Drosophila melanogaster: one gene and its partner. The protein of the gene in region 1 purifies or fractionates together with the protein of each later gene. This does not show direct contact. Each region holds a gene or a part of one and is shown on either strand. Other genes may lie near its edges.

Region 1 (8,457 bases):
GGATGCGGTTGTTGTACGATGAGGCCACCTCCTTGGCTCTTGCCTTGAAAGAAGGATCTAGTGCCTTGGTCAACGCTTCGTAGACAGTATTCTCATCCAGTTTCTTAAGCTCTAATTGCAAGGCCATTCCGCGCTGCACCAATGCGGCAATATTGAGGGATTGGTCGCCGTAAATTGGGACACCCACAATCGGCACAGCACTGGAGACCGCCTCCGTGGTGCCCATTAAGCCACCGTGGGACATAAATACCTTTAGATTTGGATGAGCGAGGATGTCTCGCTGAGGCAGCCACTTCCTGATGTGCAGATTTGGTGGCTTATTGGGCAGCGTGTCATTTTCATACTTCCAGATGACCTCCTGCTCCAATCTTCCAATCGCTTTAACGATTCCATCTCTCCGAGCAGCGGAAAGAGAACACGCTTTCAGCTGAGAGCCCCAGCTAATTAGGATGACTCCTTTGGGTGCGTTATCCAGTATTTTCTGAAGATCCGAGGGCAGCGGTTTCGGTGGACTTATATGTACACCACCCACTTCGATGACGTTTGGGGGCAAAGGCTTTGGCCCACTGAGCGAAAAGTGCTGGTTGACCAGCATTAGAGAAGTATTCCTCACCAAGTCCTCCGTGGACGGCAGTCCAGGACCGAATCTTTGGCGAATCAAGGCGTTTCCGGCGGGAACTGTAAACATTCTAGACGAGATCAATGTATGAATGTGTTCGAAGCCCCCAATCCCATATAGACTACTTACTTATACAGCAAGTTGAGGGAGTGCACAGTAATCCAGTTGCCCAATCGTCCCGCAAAGGACATCTCCTGGGATTGTCCCTGGAACAATGCTGATATATACGATGGGATCAGAGGGGCTCCAAATCGTTCATAATGCCATGGCATCAGGGCACAGCTGCTCATTCCAATGACCGGAGCTTGGAAAACATGGGCCACGCTCATCGCACAGTCAGTATTGAATTGCTCCAGTAAAATTACATCGTAGTAGCCAGGAGGATTCTTAAGGATCTCAGTTAGGGCTCTGCTGTGCAGTGTGGTATTGCAGTCCTCTCTTCCCATTTTGTGCAGGATAAAGAACTCTACATAGTGAAATAGGAAGCTGTAGGGCCGTTCGAAGTCCTGGTAAAACCGATAGAAAAAGTGGGTTTCTTAATTTAAGTATAGGTTAAAAGAAAAGGTTAAAATCTGAGATAAGCTCAGAATATAATACTATTGTATAATAGTACATCTGGGGTTACGCTTACACATTTCAAGTTCGTATCACCTAAAATATAATAACACCAGCACTCACTCATCATTTAAGTTATGACCCCTTTATGTACCCTTTTTTTATGGGTATGCCATCTCATTATGGCTTTGAACAACGCACCTCTAAGCTAATAGTGTCTGTCAAGGTGGAGGGCGGCAGCAGGTGGTCCTTGTATCCGTTTGGAGGGTCCTTGTCCTCGAATGGACTGATGACATCCACGCTGTGACCGGCCTCGGCCAATCCGCGCATGATTGGGTGAAAGAACTTGAAGTGACTGATGGCCGGGTGCGGAAACAGACCCAGAATTCGCAGGGAATCGCTGAAAGCGACCAGGGAAAGTAGCGCCAGCAGGCAGAAAACCTTCCAACAACCACACATTGCGCTGGAAAACCGGGGGAAAGGGTCAAGTTCTTGTCGAGTCAGCGGTGCAAATCGATTTTCGTGATGATATGAGTTTTACATGCTGTGGAATGCACTTCTAAATTTAACAAATGCGATTATTTTTTTCATTTTACAATTAGCAAACAAAAATAATATTCTCCGGCGTTTCACTCACACGGGGAGATAGAGCTAGATCCGGAACGGTCGGAAGATGAGCATCAACTGACGCCGGCGAGTAAAAAAGCTCAATTAGGCGCCGAAAGCATACATATACTTATATTTACATACATACACACATACATAATTCAATCTTTTAGGGGGAACTTAAAAAGTATCGCAACATGTAAGTGCTCTTGGCTAGAAATAAATACATAGGGAATTTCATCTACGAATTTCCGAGCATTTGAACATTACTGATGCGCACGGCATTGAAAAAGAGTGAAATATTTTAAAAACTTTATTTATTTCCGTACTAGAAACAATTTTCAGATATTATATTTCTTCTAATATGTTCATTTCCATTCATTTAAAAATAAGTTGTTCCTTGCAGTTGTTCATTACAACATTATAACATTATTTTAATAATATTCCCGTACTAGATACAATATTCGAAAACTACGTTCGTTTTAATCGGGTAAATCCCAATAGTATCAAACATTAAATTAATTTGGCGTCGCTAGGATTACATCTAGATACAGTCCGTGGGGGAGGCGTCTTTAGAATTAAAAATGTCTTACACAGAACATATAAAATATCACATAGACCACAAACGAAGCTGTGCAGGGATGAGTCGAGCTAATCCTTCTTAGTCTTCTGGGCGGCACTGGATCCGCAACAGAGTCGAAGGAGCCACACCCAACTGGCAATGATGCTGCCCAGGACGAGGGCCAACACGGCATAGACATCCAGGGAGTAGTAAACGAATCGTGACATCTCGACGGCACTGGGCTTCAACAGAGGAGCTCCGCCAGTGTGGGCCACATGCTCCACCCACCAAATGGCTGTATGCAGGGCCTGCTGTGGGCGGTGGTGGAACGAGTGGGAGACTACTTTGGCAGCATCGTGGAACCTGCAAATCAAGTACATTTAGTTTCGGCTAAAACAGTGCATGACATGGTACTCTCACTTTTTGTCCAAAGCCTTCTTTAGTGCCCTCATCACCGTGTTTTCGCCTATATCCTCGAAATTCAGGATAGTTCCCATGCCTCGCTCGACCAAAGCGGCCGTATTGACAAACTGATCGCCATACATGGGCGTCGCAACCACTGGGACTCCACAGTAAGCTGCCTCCGAGGTGCCCATGAGTCCGCCGTGGGACATGAACACCTTGACGTTGGGATGGCAGAGGATATCGCGTTGTGGCAACCACTTCATAATGTGCATGTTGGGTGGCTGGTTAGGCAGTGTTTCGTTTTCCCATTTCCAGATAACCTTCTGCTTTAATCGAGCCACCGCCCGAATAATGCCATCCCTTTTCGCCGCCGACAGGGAATTCGCCCGGATCATTGATCCCCAACTAATCAGGATCACTCCTTCCTCAGCATTGTCCAGAATGCGCTGCAGATCGGCAGGCAGAGGCTTCGATTTCTGGATGTGGATGCCACCCAGCTCGATGACATTGGGCGGCGTTACCTTGGGTCCAGACAGCGAGTAGTGCTGGTTCACAAAGAACATGGATGTGTTCTTCACCAGCTCGCCCACCGAAGGCACGTCATGGCCGAATTTGTACTGAACCATGGCGTCGGCAGCGGGAACCGATAGTAATCTGCGACCGAAAACATTAATATAATTGGAGATGTTATGGAGTTCTTAAAGAAATTGTGAGACCCACTTGTACATCCAATTTAAGGCGTGGGTGCTGAACCAATTGGCCAGTCGTCCCCCAAAGTTCATGTGCTGCGACTGGGCCATGAAGAGCGCCGGGATGTGAGAGGGTATCAAAGGAGCTCCCATTCGCTCGTAGTGCCAGGGCATCATCACACAGCTGCTCAAGGCGATCACCGGCGCCTGGAGCTGGTGGGCCACTCCCATCATGCAGTCAGTGTTGAATTGCTCCATGATGATCACATCAAAGCGTCCCGGACGCCTGAGGATCTGCTGCAGTGCTTCCGAACGGAGCGTCAGGTTGCATGTCTGTTTGCCCCAGTCGTACAGCAGGAAGAACTCCTGGAAGTGACTGTAGAATGTGCGCTTCTCGAAAAACTAAAAGAAGAATAGAATGTTTAAAACAATGCCTAGTAAATCATAGTAAGTCAAGTTACTCTGAATATATAGCTAAGTATTTCTCAGATTTATGACTATTCTGAGTACATTTTTTCAATGAATACAATCATTTAGGTTACAATAAATAAACGAAACAATAGATAGGTTTACGACACGTAGATATGTGTGTACATGGGATTCCCCTTTTCACTCACCTTGAGATCAACACTGTTCGTGAGCTTGTCCATTCCGGTGAGGGGGAAATCCTTGTAGTGGGCAACCGGATGCTTGTCCGGGAAGTGGGAAACCACGCTCACGTCATGACCCGCCTCGGCCAGACCCTTCATGATGGGGTGGAAGAAGTGGAAGTGGCTAACTCCGGGATGGGGAAAAAGACCCAGCACCTTCAGCGGACCAGCGGCCTCCACCAACTCGTCCGGTTGGCTAAGTGCTAGGGCCAGGAAAAGTAGGGCAACCCGCGGCGACCACATTGTACCCTACGGCAAGTGAAATAAATTCAACATTTTATTTTAAATTAATCACGAATAATTAATTGAAACTTCTCGTCAAATACTCAATTAAGATCACTTGGTATACAAATTTAGCTATTCGTGACATGTGTAATTATAACTATAGAACAACTTAAAAAGGGCTTAAAATTGTACAAGAAAATGAGACAGAAATATGACGGATGTACATTTTACACATTAAGGTCAATGCTGATTTTTTTAATATATAGCTTTTTAAGAAATGTATTGGTATCCAAAATTCGGAAATTGAATTTAGAAATGGTATTTGCATAAGAACAGATTATCCTTAGCGTTGCACCTTGTGCAGAAACTTAAACACTTGTTGACTCTTGGGTTCTTGGCTTTTCAGTATTTTCGAGCGACCTTGAGCGGGGCGGTGGGCGGCAATGCGCATGTCGCGGATGCGAGAAATGCAGGGAAATTATGTAAAGAATGCGGACGAAAGCAGCAAAGGAAAACACAAGCACAACAAAAGCAACTGCAATTGCATCACAAACGGCACTGCACCCGCTAATATATTCACAATTATCGCCTGGTGAGGGTCTTTCATCCGGAATTCAATTGAACCGCTGAACTGGATACACACACAATATTATCCAAAAAACGCGGAGTCGTCGCTTTCGAACATAAATCCTGTTCTGGCTCACCTTCCACTCTTACTTACTTGTAAGACTGCCGACAAGCGACTGACTAAATTCGGAGACTACATCCGAATGAAAAGCTTTTCGGTCAACGCTCGAGTCCGCAGCCGAAAATGCTCAGTCAGCGATCGGAAATCAATCGCAGTCTTCGGCGGTATTGGCAATCTGGCTATATTGTAGCCAAACTGTTATCATGGCTTCTAAAATAAAATTAATATTTTATAAAACCCTAGGATTCCAGTTTTGTATATAAAAAAGCACTTTTGCAAAAATTTCAAAACTATATAAGTTGATTGGGTTTTTAATCAAATTTGTTTAATTTATTAATAGTAACAGCCGTCATTTATATTTCAAATGAAAGTGAAAACAAGTTTTTGCATTCTTTTTGGTTTATAAACAACGCCTAAACTTGCTGAGTTTTTATCGGGCTTTCTCGTAAGAATTTTAAAACAATGAAAATTGGGGAGAGTGTAGATGCCCTAGTGCACACGAGACTCAACTACCGGATGTAGAGAAAGTCTATCAAGACAAGCACAAGTCTGCCGATTTATTATCAGCCGATGTATGCGTGTTTTGCCCCAAGGCTCCGCTTGTTTACAATTCATCGTACGGGCTTGTTTTCGGTTTACGGAAGGTACATATTGTACATATGTACATACCATACATATATGAACAATAGACAAGAATAGACATTTCTTAGGAATCTTTAAAATTTTCCATGTTAGCAAGCTCTTTTAATATTTCGAAAAAATACTAATTCGGTTACAAAAATGTAATTGCTACAAACAAAACGACACTGTTAATAATAGAGCTGATAATATTGTATAAATTTGAAAGTGAAAGCCGTTTTCATTATCAGTTTTGGTTTGCTGACCTTTCCATTCACAAAAAGCTGAGCTATGTAACATTAATTATATATGTTTTTAATTACGAATAAATTAAGCAAAATCGTTGTCTCAGTAACATATTTATACAATATAATTTTGTTCGGAATACGCTTTTTGACATGCGACCCATTTTCCTGACATTCATTAATTTCTCTGACTAAATCTCAAGTTCATTGAACCAAATAAACATTTATTGCGTCTTTGTCTTAGTATCTCTAGAGATTTTCCCCCGACAAAAAGCTGTTTTGAATATCTTTATGAGCTTCCGCAGGGCGACAATCAGTAGAAATAAGATTCCCAGCCAGAACAGGAGAACATCGATGGAATTGTAGACGATCCAGTTTATGTGTCTGGCTTCACTTTGGATATGTGGAGCTCCCCCATACTTTATGACATGCTCAATCCACCAGGTGGCCAATTTGATAGGGGGAATGGGACGCTGGCGAAATGCTTCGCTGGATCGTCTAACTCTTTCCGCGAATCTGTAAAATAATACAATCAAAAAATGTTAATAGTAAACAGTTATCAAGGAAATCTGAATAGATTGCTTCTTTAGAAACCCATTACTTTTTATCAAGTATAATACGAAGTCCTCTGGTTATGTGATTCGAATCGAAGTCTCTGAAGTCAACGATAACTCCGAAACCTCTTTGTTTCACTGCGCCTGAGTTGAGAAACTGATCTCCGTAGAAAGGTGTCACCAGCATGGGAACTCCACAGTGAATCGCCTCCGTGGTGCCCAAAAGTCCGCCATGGGAGATAAAAGCCCTGATCTTTGGGTGACACAAAAGATCTCTTTGTGGCAGCCAGTCGAAAGTGTAGAGGTTCGAGGGCTGTTTATCTTCCAGAGATTCTAAACTTTTCCAGCGCATTACAAAGTTGTATTCCTTAAGTTGGGAAATGCTTTGGAAAAGCGCACTTCGCTTGCCCGAAGGAAGTGTATTGCTGTTTACCATGGAGCCCCAGCTGATATAGATTACTCCATTGGGAGATCGATCCAGAAGATCTAGCAGGTGCTGAAACAAAAAGTATTTGTTTAACATCTGGGTTTATATATATGTACATATTAAATGTTGTCCTACAAAAAAATATTGTGTAATATTTGGTAATCTCATTAAAATGCGACTGTATTTTTTTCAGTTCGACTGTTTTGTCACATTTTTCATATTGGATTAACAGTGGCTAATCGCGGATTACAAAATAGCATAAATAATCAAATGAATCGCCTGTTAAGGGATCGAAATAATTATTAAATGCTCATGTCTACAATCCCCATTTTATCTTTTATTTTATTTGTTTGAAGTATGCGGTACGATTTAAATATAATGTAATTAGTTGATAAGGAGTTCGGTGACCTACAGAAAAAACATTTATGTGATTAACAAAGATAACCGGTTATCTGGTCAAATAAGACAGTTCCATAGATAATTTATTTTCTTTTAGCTATAAGCTCATGTGAATTATCTATACTGATCTTAAACATTTCATTTGGCCTCTTAAACCGCAGTAAGTGATTCAACTTACTTGTGGAAGTGGTTTTATCGGCCCCACTTGCAGCCCACCCACTTCAATCACATTCGGAGCATAGGGGCGTGGTCCGGTTAGGGCGTAATGCTGATTGATCAGCATCAGACTCGTATTCTTCACGATCTCATTGATGGGCGGCAGACCGGGTCCAAATCTCTCAGCGATCAGGGCATCGGTGGCTGGTTGGGTAATCATGCTGTTCAAGGAAAATTCGATTCAGATAACTGTGCACTTGAGGATCGAGGCAAGTGACACCCACTTGTACAGAGTATTAACGGTGTGGAAATGAAAGAAATTATTCAGTCGATCGATCAGACTCATCTCATCAGTGTAGGGCAGGAAATTCATGGGCATAATGGGGTTAATGAACGGACTTCCCATGCGTTTGTAGTGCCACGGCATTATCGCACAGCTACTCAATGCGATTACAGGTGCATTCAATAGGTGGGCCACCGCTGCCATGCAATCGTTGGAGAAGTGTTCCAGGAGTATGACGTCATATCGAATGGGGGACTTGAGCAGTTGGGTGATGAGGGGTGAGTTCAGGGCCACCTTACAGGATCGCAGACCCCAATCGTGAAGCATAAAGTAGGTGGGCACCTTGAACGGCAGTCCCAGGGGCTTCCATTCGGATTCAAAGTTCTAAAATTCATAAGTGAATACATAATTACGAAATATAGTTGAACTTGAACTTCACCCACACTTAAGTCCACAATATCGGTGAGCAAGGGCATTCCTTGAAAGACGTAATCCGTGTAGTTGGCCACTGGTTTCTCCAGTGGAAAATAGCTATACATGCTAATGTTGTGACCCCTCTCCGCCAAGGCCAAGAACATGGGACGGAAGAAGTCAAAGTGGCTCTTTCCGGGATGTTGAAACAAGCCCAAAATGTGCGCCGCGTCATTGGGTTTCGGTCTTAATAAAAAGGCTAATAAAGCCAGAGGTAGCAACTTCATTGCTGATCACTTTATTCACATAAAAAGAACGGAAAATAAAAATTATTTATTTTAATCGAGATTGCATAATTAACACTT
Region 2 (9,376 bases), on another chromosome or scaffold:
TTGCACTCAACTGGCGGCGAATTCTTAGCAACAATTTGCTGCTCCAATTAAATTCCCAACTACGAACTCGGAGGCTTCTTCTGGTTGCGGCCAAGTGTCAGTACATTAATCATGAGGTGATTTATGGCGCCCACGCCATCGACGCATGTGCTCACGTTTTTCTCGCTGCCAGCAGCAACATCAGCGCGTGTGGGCAGCCCACCGCCACCCACCCACTCCCACTGCCACCACCACCTCCTCCGATTCCCCCGGAAAACACCTGGCCCCAACGCATGCATTGTTATGCTCCGTTAGCCGTTTTAGAAGCGTGTGGCAACTAAACGATGTGGCAAGAGTCGACCAAATTGCTGCCGTGGGCGTAGGAGCTGCAACATCAGTAATAGCAGCCACGGCAGCAGCATCAGTAGCATCCCCTTCCGAAAACTTCCTCGACCAGGTGTCAAAAGCCAGCCATAACTAAGATGAGGAATACAACATCCACAATCCGCAGTCCAAATGCCCATTGGTGCCAGGCGATCCGATGAGTTTATTAAGCTGGCACTTAACACAAAAAAAAAATGATCGTTAATACATGAATTCATTATTTAATTGAGTCTGCAACAGAATAATGGTCAATACTTTGGATAAGTAATAACCATAACTATAACGATTTATATAAATATGTTACACATATTAATCAGCAAAATTATCCACACAAGCTAATCATTGGATTTATGATCAACCAAATTGATATTTTCTTTCGGTGCAGCAGCTGCCGGCGGATCGTTTGAGCTTGTCAGGTGAGGCATGTTGAGTGTTTTAATTACCGCCGGTGCACTGCGGACTGCAAGATCGGTTGCATCCGCATAAACCGGCAACTGTGGCCAGGTTTATTTGATTTACGCGTGGTCATTAGCCATTGCCAAGTGGCTAAGAAGTCTTGGTCTTGGCGCTGTCTGCCTGTCGAGAAATGTCAAAAGGTTAATTGGATTGTGGCAGCCGTAGCCGGAGATGCCACCGAAATTGAATTGAAAACTAAATCTGAAGCCGGACCCAGCCAAGAATCTTGTTGAAAGGGGAATGCCAGAATGGCTGGCCATTGAGCAGCCAACCAGAAATGGTCAATGGGTGCTCGAGTAAGTGGAATAAAGTCTAAGAGTATGGCAAATAAATTCAAAAAAATAATCTGTCTGATTAAAATGGAGATTCCTTAATCTGTGAGAGTATTTAAAAATTTAATTATAATTTTAATTAGAGAACATCTAATTTTATAAAAGAGATCGTTGGTCTTAAATTGAGAAACTTTTTTCATTTCTGCGATTTGCTTATCCCTACTCCCAAAATCCAATCAAGCGGCTAATACTCGCGAGGCATGCAACCGATGAAAGAAGCCGCAGAAGATGGGTTCATTCGGTACTCCACTCCGCATCGAAGACAGCCTGGGAATCTGGGCCGTCTTCGTCCACTGGAGCTTTGATTGATGACAGCGCCCACCGCATCGGCAGCTTCACACATTGAGTTATCGCCGGGTCTATCTCTTCATATAGCGATAGAGTCTTTTTTGGATATGCATTAAATATGAGATTGTTTTTTTTTTTGCAGCCATCATGTCGTTCGCTTTTAAGCGTTCAGTTCGCTTAAGTGACAGTCGAGTTGTAGTTGCTTCGCAGTTGTTTTTCGAGATGATACACCTACCTACCTGAGTTCCTCCGTCTCCGTACCGCTCTCCTGGAACCCCCATACTCCTGTCCCCTTAACTGAAGTCGATTAAAATTCCTCCAAAATGTTGAATGTTAATCGCTCATTGTTTGAGGAGGCGCACAAAATTAAATTGTTTGCTTTTTCGAAAATTTGACATACAGCAGATATGACGTGGTTGTTGTTGTTGTTGTCACCTTTCAAGCTGCCGCCGCCAACTGCTGAGTGCATTTTCAAATAAATGTTTCTTGCAGCTCTTTTAATTGCATTCCCTAGCCCCACGATGGCAATCAAGCGCAGACAAGTTAATTAAAACCTAGCACAGCAATTTGACCAGATTAGCATCAGCAGATCCTGAACACAAAACACCAGCTGCAGTTCTATATAAAAATGTTTTTATACAAAAGAAATCGATTTACAAAAAAGCTGACGGTATCTAGAAAAGTACGTTGCACCAGTAGGAGGAATGTGAGATAGACTGAGTGTGGAGTTCATTTAGTATTCGCCATTTCCGTACTGCTGGATTTTCAACAGGTCGCAGGAGAACTGGAAAAGCTGCTCGCACTTTGCCGGCTTCTTGGCATCCGGATGGAAAGGACCCTTTCCGCCGTTGGAGAGGTAAGTACCACCCTGACCCTCGATGGAGGGATCAATGGCCGCGAAGACCACCGTGCGGGATCCCCTTTCCGGAGTCTTGAAGAATAGCTTCTTGAAAATGGGCACCGATGTGGTGGCCGAGTGCTCGAACAGATCCGTGTCCACAATGCCCGGATGCACCACATTGACCTGCACGTGCGACTTTTCTGCATCCAGCAGTGTCTGCAGATGGCGGGTGAACAAGATCTGAGCAAGCTTTGACTGACTGTAGGCGGTTCCCGGGTAATAGTGTTTTCTGCAAGCAGTAAAACCTAGTAAATAAGGAACTTAGGCGACAATTACTCAAACGTACGTTCCGTTAATGTCCTTATAGTTGATGCGTCCAATGAGATTCACGCAGGAGCTGACGTTCACGATCCTGGAGTTCCTTCCCTCCTTGCCTGCCGCCCTCAATTGAGGCAGAAGCAGGTGGGTGAGCAGAAAGTGTCCCAGGAAGTTGATGGCAAAGTGCGACTCGTAGCCATCGGCGGTTAGTTTGAAGGGCGCAAACATGATGCCAGCATTGTTCAGCAACAAATCCACTTTTGAATACCGCTCCTTGATGAGCTGAGCAAATGCCTTTACGGATTTCAGATCCCCAACATCCAGTTGCTCGCAGATGAGCTTGCCCTTGGTAGCATTCAAGTCGACTATCGATGCAACTGCGGTTTCGGCAATTTTGGGATCACGAACGCCTGCAATAAATGCATAAATTAAAGTGAGCCACTGACAAAAATTGCTGAGAGGACAGAACTTAATTAATAAATATCCTTTAAAACACTTTTTTATGAGTGTTTTCTAATCTACCCTATTTTACACAAAATATAAGCAATATAAGCGACACCTAGCGCCTGTATAGCGCACTTCAAGCTCTGGTTTTTACATCTATACATTTTACATAAGTTCAATGTAGAAAATAACAGTTGACTGTTAAATGATTAAAATGTTTATTATTTTAACTAGCACTAACAATAAAATTAAATATATTTAAAAAAAAAAATGATTTCTTAATAAATGAATTTTCTTAGAGACTAAAATATGCAGTGAAATTGTAAGTAAACGTATTAAAGCAAGAAATTGGAAAAGCAACAAAAAATGCCATTTTCAAAAATGTTAACGAGAAAATACAAAATAATTATTGATAACTGTGACCCTTTTCATTGAAATTTAGAATTCTTTTCTCCGACCAGTCAATGAACTCTTATCGCTTGTCTTTCCCGAAAATCGAGACTTTTACGCGACTTGGTTAGATAATGAAATCAGGAGAATGGGTCATGATTTCTGTATCGCATTGACAAGGGTGGGAATGGATCTGCATTTCGACGATCGTTTATTCGATGTTCGATTTTAGCTTGCCGAGCACGTGCACTTGCAGCACGGTTAAATGTTTGTGGAATTCATAAGCAGATCGCCGACTTATGGATAGGAATAGGCCTGAAACAAGTTGTTGGGCGGAGATTGGTCAACTCACCCATGACGACAGTCATGTCGCAGGCCAGCAGCTTCTCCACGATCCGCAGTCCGATGCCGCGATTGCCTCCGGTGATGACAGCAATGCGGTCCGGTTGTTTATAAAGTGCTTAATGGATAATGGCAACAATTAGTGATCGTGGAATAAGCATCGGCTAGCAAATTGACTTACCCACTCGATCCCGTGCCTTATACTGGGCATCGTGGACGAGCCCAACGATTCCCAGGTACTGATACCGAAACTCAGTCTTCCACTCGAACCAGGACTTCGGGAACTCCTTGGTGGTCTTCGAAAAGAGGAACGCACACAGCAGCAGGCCGACGAAGAAAATCCACAGCAAAGTTCCCAACATTATACGCTCTTATCGGATCGGATCGCCGTCTCTCCGGAACTCTGCAAAGGGAATACGGGTTTTGATAAGAAATCGGGCAAAGTGCGCCGGCTGATAACGAAAACCGATCCTGGTTCGTCACAGACATTAGCCATTAGCCGGCAACATTATCAATATTGGCGGGTAAATTCGCCTCGAGTGCACTTTGCGAAACTCTTCAACTGAGTCAGCAAGATTTCGCGATCCGAGTGCCAGCGGGTACATCTGTTGGCCATATTCGTTTGGAATTCTAGGTGTGTTGGCCATATATACTTGCCAGAGATTGATTCGTGTCACGATTCAGCTGCGAATAGTCGAGCTTCTACAATTATCATGCCTTTATACTATCAAGTTGGCGTAACAGTAGAGAGTAACTAATCACTTAAAAATGTGGTTTAATTATAAAGCTCGAACTTTTTGTAGAATGATCTTTGCTATCAATTAAAAAGGCTTTTACAAAAGTGCTGTTTTAACGCACTAATCCTAATTCGACAGAGTAACAAGAATGATGTTTGAAATCTCAGAATTTTCACCAGGAAACCCCATTTTTGGGGATAGAAGTCTAATAATTAATAAACTTTTTAATGATATTTATCAGAGAGCGTGTTCTGAAATCGACTTGACCCCATTGGCCGTCGAATAGCTTGAGTTGTTGCCTCTTTCCCTCAGTTTTTTCTTATTTGCCCAGCAATTTCCAGCGTTGGTTAGCCGGGCTTATAAAGCTAACGCGATTGTTTGGCCACCGATATTTGCAGTGCATATTTGCCACCTGCACTTTGAGCGCTGCACTGGAATCTTAATTTTTAATCGGGCGGGGAAACAATTAAATTAATTAGACAGAAGATAGTTGAGCGCGTTTATTGGGAGACAGCGAGAGAACTGGCTTAGGTGTGCTCGTAAAATGCTAATTAAAAACCCAAACAGCGGCGGAATGAAAGTTGAAGAGCCGAGCTTCGAGCCAAAGCCAATAAACGGGGCCAAAATAGTGAATTTGGGGCCAGAGCTGAAAATGACTGAGGCGCTAAACAGCAACAACTAGGGTCGGTTTCTTTGGGCTCTTCTTGCGGGGGCAGCGGGGAAATATCTGTACGGACGACCTAGCATAGTACACTGCGAAAAACTCTTTAGTATTGGTGTAAAATATAAAAATATTTACAAATTGTACTGCGCAGAATGGTTTTCCATTTTAAGAAAGTTAAGGAAATAGAATTATTTTTCTTGAGTGAAGGTTGTTTGAAATTCTCTTAATTGCTTTATCTTTTATAATAGATTGCACTTAAAAGATAAGAACTTCACTACAAATTAGAAATAGGTTTTGTATGAATTTTTCATTTTTCACATAAAGTAATTCCATTTTTTCTGTGTGTACGCATGACACCACGAACGTGCTGTCAAGAGTTTCGACTTCCGTCAACAAAACGCAAAAGCTTAGCAGTTTTACTGTTGTTGCCGCGGTCGTTTTTAATTTGGCTGCATATGGTTAACTTTCTTTTTCTATTGTTGTTGCCCTTGCAGAGGGCTTTTCAATTTTACCTTCAATTTGGCTGACGCAGACGAAAATGCACCTGTGCCTCGATTTCTATGCTAATATTGACACCCTTTTTTTCAATTAAAGGCTGCGGCGGCGCTTCCTCGTCTTTTTGTTTTCTTTCACGTTTTCGAAGAGGATCAATCGCTGGTGTTTGAAAACCGGTTTTTCCAGCGGGCCCTTATTTTCGCCACAACCGCTCGGCGAGAAATTCAAAAGCGAACTGAACGTTAGGTTTTAATTGCGCGCCTTTCCGCCAAGAACTTGATCCACGATTGTTGTTGTTTTGTTTTGGCTTATTGCCGCTGGTCAACAGGTGAATTTTACCCACTTGCCGGCTGATCACGCAGAAAAACAGCTGATATTGTACAATTACGTGGTTATGCAATGGTTAAGCGGGTCGGTCGGCGTGTTGTTACCTTAGTGTGCACTCACAAAAACGCTGATTTGAAACAACTTAATTGAAATAACTGCAGACAAGCGAAAATCCAAGGTGGATATACATCGATGGCACCAGGGCTGCACTTTCTCTGTTTCAAAATATCGATTGTTGATGTAATCATCGATATCTGCCGTCAGTATGCATTTTTCTTTATTTTGTCCTTATTCATTTGTAAATCATAAGAAACCTGAGGTTTTTAAACAAATGTTTTTATTACAGAGAAACAGAGTTTGCGTGTGCAAAAAATACCTAAATGTTGAGCTAAGCTTATTAACAGTAACATGTCTATTCTATGTTAAGCTACTGTTACCAAACTAATCGATATCACTGCCATAAAAATATCGAAATTCAAATTTAAGGCAATAATACACCTTTAATCTTTTCATGTTAGTTAAAGTTCAAGTAAAATTATGTTTTAAGTCTCCCAACAAAATACCTTCTTTCTTTTGCTAGCTGATTTATTTATTGAACCGAAATAGTACAGTGCATTTAAGTGTTTAAACGGAAATATGTTCGTACAACAATTACAATTTATGTTTTGCCTTGATACCAGTTATAACTAATTTTGCCATTATATAGTTGCGCATAAGTATATATATAGTTTGAAATTAGAAGAACCTAAGCGAAACATTGAAGTCTAAACTTTGCGCATTTCTTTTAAATATTTTGAATAAAATTTCGTTTCGCTTTCGATTAAATAATTCAGTTGGGATTACCATATAGAGCGTGTTGTCGTGTTTATAGGTGAATAAATATTTTGAAATATATACTAGACTAAATTGAATATATACTTGAATCGTGTGTGCTGGTGTAAGAGGTGCCTATATGCTACTAAAAAGAATATTACTGTGGAAAGGACAAAGTATTCAAAGTATTCAAATAGGTTCGGAACTCTAAGTTGCAGCTGCGTTGTCAATGTCTTTTATCGCCTGTTCCTCCATCTTCGTTTCCGTTTCCGTAGCAGCGACATCCTTAGGCTCCTTTAACTGTCAATTCTCCACGGACATGTTGCCGATGTCATCGTTTATGGCCAGCACCTGGCTGATGAAGCTCTGGTCGGTGACCACCTCGGCCAGGGATTTGCACAGTTCGGTCAATTCCGGCAGCGGTATCTTCAATTGCGGCGCCAGCCTGCTAAGATGTTGACCCACATAGTCCGGCAGCTGATGGGTGATAATAACTGGGTTAGTAATGGGTAACCATTGGCTATAGCTATCAGTGATCCTTACCTTTCCCTTGCCCACTTTAAACGCGCTGAACATCAGCTTCGTCCGCACTCGCTGCTCATTGGGTCCGTCGTAGAAGATGGTGAGGTAGGCCTCCTGCCCATTGGCCACCAGCGGGAAGTAGATGCCCGCATAGACCTGACCCTTGGCATCGCGGGAGAGTAGCGATCGGAAGTTGTACACCAGATTGCGGCGCACGGTCACGTCGATGGCCGTGATGTACTCTTGGGCCACGTAGATCAGCGATGTCTTGTAGCTGGTATCCTCGCCACGGATCTCGCGCTCCTTCCACTCCACGAATTTCCCATTCTGCTGACTGTAGGCATAGCAATAATCACGCTGCAGATGCGGCTCCTTGGATTGGGTGAACCAGCCTAGAAACATATTGCATCCATCAGTATATATGTATTACAATAGGCTAAGCGGAGATTACAACTCACCAGTGTGCGGATAGCTCTGATCCTGCATAACAGTCACCGCTCGGCTGACATGGTAACCTGGGTCCAGGATCATCACACCCCGTCGATCGCCGATGGCGATGCGCATGGCGACCATGACGTGCTCCTTCTCCACACCCGCGTCCACCGAATTAAGGCCGCACTCCTCGTCCAACTGAACGTAGTCGTTGCAGTCCATCACCTGCTCCTCGCAGGACACAACGTACAAGTAGTTGGCCAGCACCGGGAACATCTGCACCATCCTGGCCATGATTTCGAACGCCAGCGAGACGCACATGTGATGGCGTCTGTTGATGGGCACATCGTAGAACTGAAAGAAGCTACGCAGATCGGAGCGACGCGTGCGCTTAAAGCTGCGATAGAAGTCAACGAAGAGGTTGACCGTATTGTAGTGCGTCTCCTCCAGCATTCGCTGCAGCGTGGTCTCCACTATTCCGTTCAGCTCCTCATACTGCCAGACATTGTCGAAGATCAGGGTGCCCTTGCCAGCGGACTCCGAGCTCGACCAGTCGGGCAGCGGCAGCGGATGACCCAGGGGCCACACTCCGTTTACCTGATTGAAGGCCTCTAGGTCATAGCCGTCGCCCACTATCCATTGAGCGCCGGAGATGCCCTCCAGAGCAGCTGCGACGGGCTGCTGTCTGGCCAACAGCTGCCTGATGTCGGAGTAACGCTCCGATCTATCCACCGATGTCAGATCGGGCGAAGGCACCAGCTCGTGGTCCTCGAGGTCCTCCTCCTCTTCCTCCTCCTCGCTGGAGGTGGAGGGTGTGCGACGAATGGCGCCAGTGCCATGTGCAGTTGGGTGCTCAGTTGCGGATAAATCAGATCGCGTCGTAGTCAATCCCAATCCCATTCCGCGCACCATCGCATCCGCCAGCTGCTGATCCGCCGGGAGCAACGGATCGTGGGCAGCGGCGGCGGCAGTGGCCTCTTCATCCTCATCCGGAGAGGCCACTCCCCCATCCTCCCGTCGGTGACTGGTGGCAACGGCGAGTCAACTCGGCCATTCGGAGCCCCAGCGGCCCACGGTGGGCACATAGCCACTTTCGCAGTCATTGAGCGTGGCGTCTAGTTGAATGTTGGCGAACTGTTGTTGGCTTGAATGCAGTGATGGTTGTTGGGCAGCTTGGCCAGCCTGGGCGGCTCCAGCTCCAGCACTGATCAGACTAATCCGGCCCTGCGCTCGCTTGAACAGGAGGTCCGGCTCGTCTCCAAATTTCGTCGTTGGTTTAGACTGATCTGTATTTCATTTGTGGAAGAAATAAGATCAAGAAAGTTGATTAGAAGATGAATTGGTAAGGAATAACAAATAATAAGAATATAGTCAGATGTGGATTACAAAGAAAAAAGGACGACAGGTGTTTGTTTTTCAGCGGAATATAACCTTTCAACATTCCTTCTTTTTATAACAAGATAAGGTAGGTTCCATTAAGTATCAATTATATAAATTCCCTCTGCTTCATCTGCTTTTCAATCTTGAGATTACGGACCCTTGACCTGCACCCTTGGTGATCCCTTTTCACTGATTAGGAAATCCCTCCAGCAATTAGCGCAAATCGCAGCTC

Evidence for each region. The genes of interacting proteins can lie anywhere in the genome.
Region 2: the proteins of Ugt36D1 (region 1) and CG11200 purify together in Drosophila melanogaster (affinity purification with mass spectrometry, with the first as the bait; one large-scale study listed by BioGRID). This does not show direct contact.

The regions. Positions count from the first base shown.
Region 1 is NT_033779.5:18,820,178-18,828,634, reverse strand, and holds Ugt36D1 (UDP-glycosyltransferase family 36 member D1), read right to left. Parts: upstream 5,088-8,457; 5' UTR 4,955-5,087; exon of another isoform or gene 4,892-4,954; intron 4,336-4,891; 5' UTR 4,330-4,335; coding exon 4,054-4,329; intron 3,839-4,053; coding exon 3,468-3,838; intron 3,402-3,467; coding exon 2,763-3,401; intron 2,706-2,762; coding exon 2,432-2,705; 3' UTR 1,919-2,431; downstream 1-1,918. Other genes in the region: Ugt36E1 (UDP-glycosyltransferase family 36 member E1), read right to left, coding at 1-689, 749-1,125, 1,376-1,633; Ugt36F1 (UDP-glycosyltransferase family 36 member F1), read right to left, coding at 6,087-6,378, 6,464-6,912, 7,421-7,619, 7,683-8,065, 8,125-8,379.
Region 2 is NT_033778.4:20,302,460-20,311,835, forward strand, and holds CG11200 (uncharacterized protein), read right to left. Parts: upstream 6,213-9,376; 5' UTR 6,102-6,212; intron 6,041-6,101; 5' UTR 5,688-6,040; intron 4,178-5,687; 5' UTR 4,137-4,177; coding exon 3,956-4,136; intron 3,893-3,955; coding exon 3,785-3,892; intron 3,009-3,784; coding exon 2,627-3,008; intron 2,570-2,626; coding exon 2,173-2,569; 3' UTR 2,058-2,172; downstream 1-2,057. Other genes in the region: CG13868 (uncharacterized protein), read right to left, coding at 7,114-7,287, 7,354-7,724, 7,791-8,765, 8,811-9,050.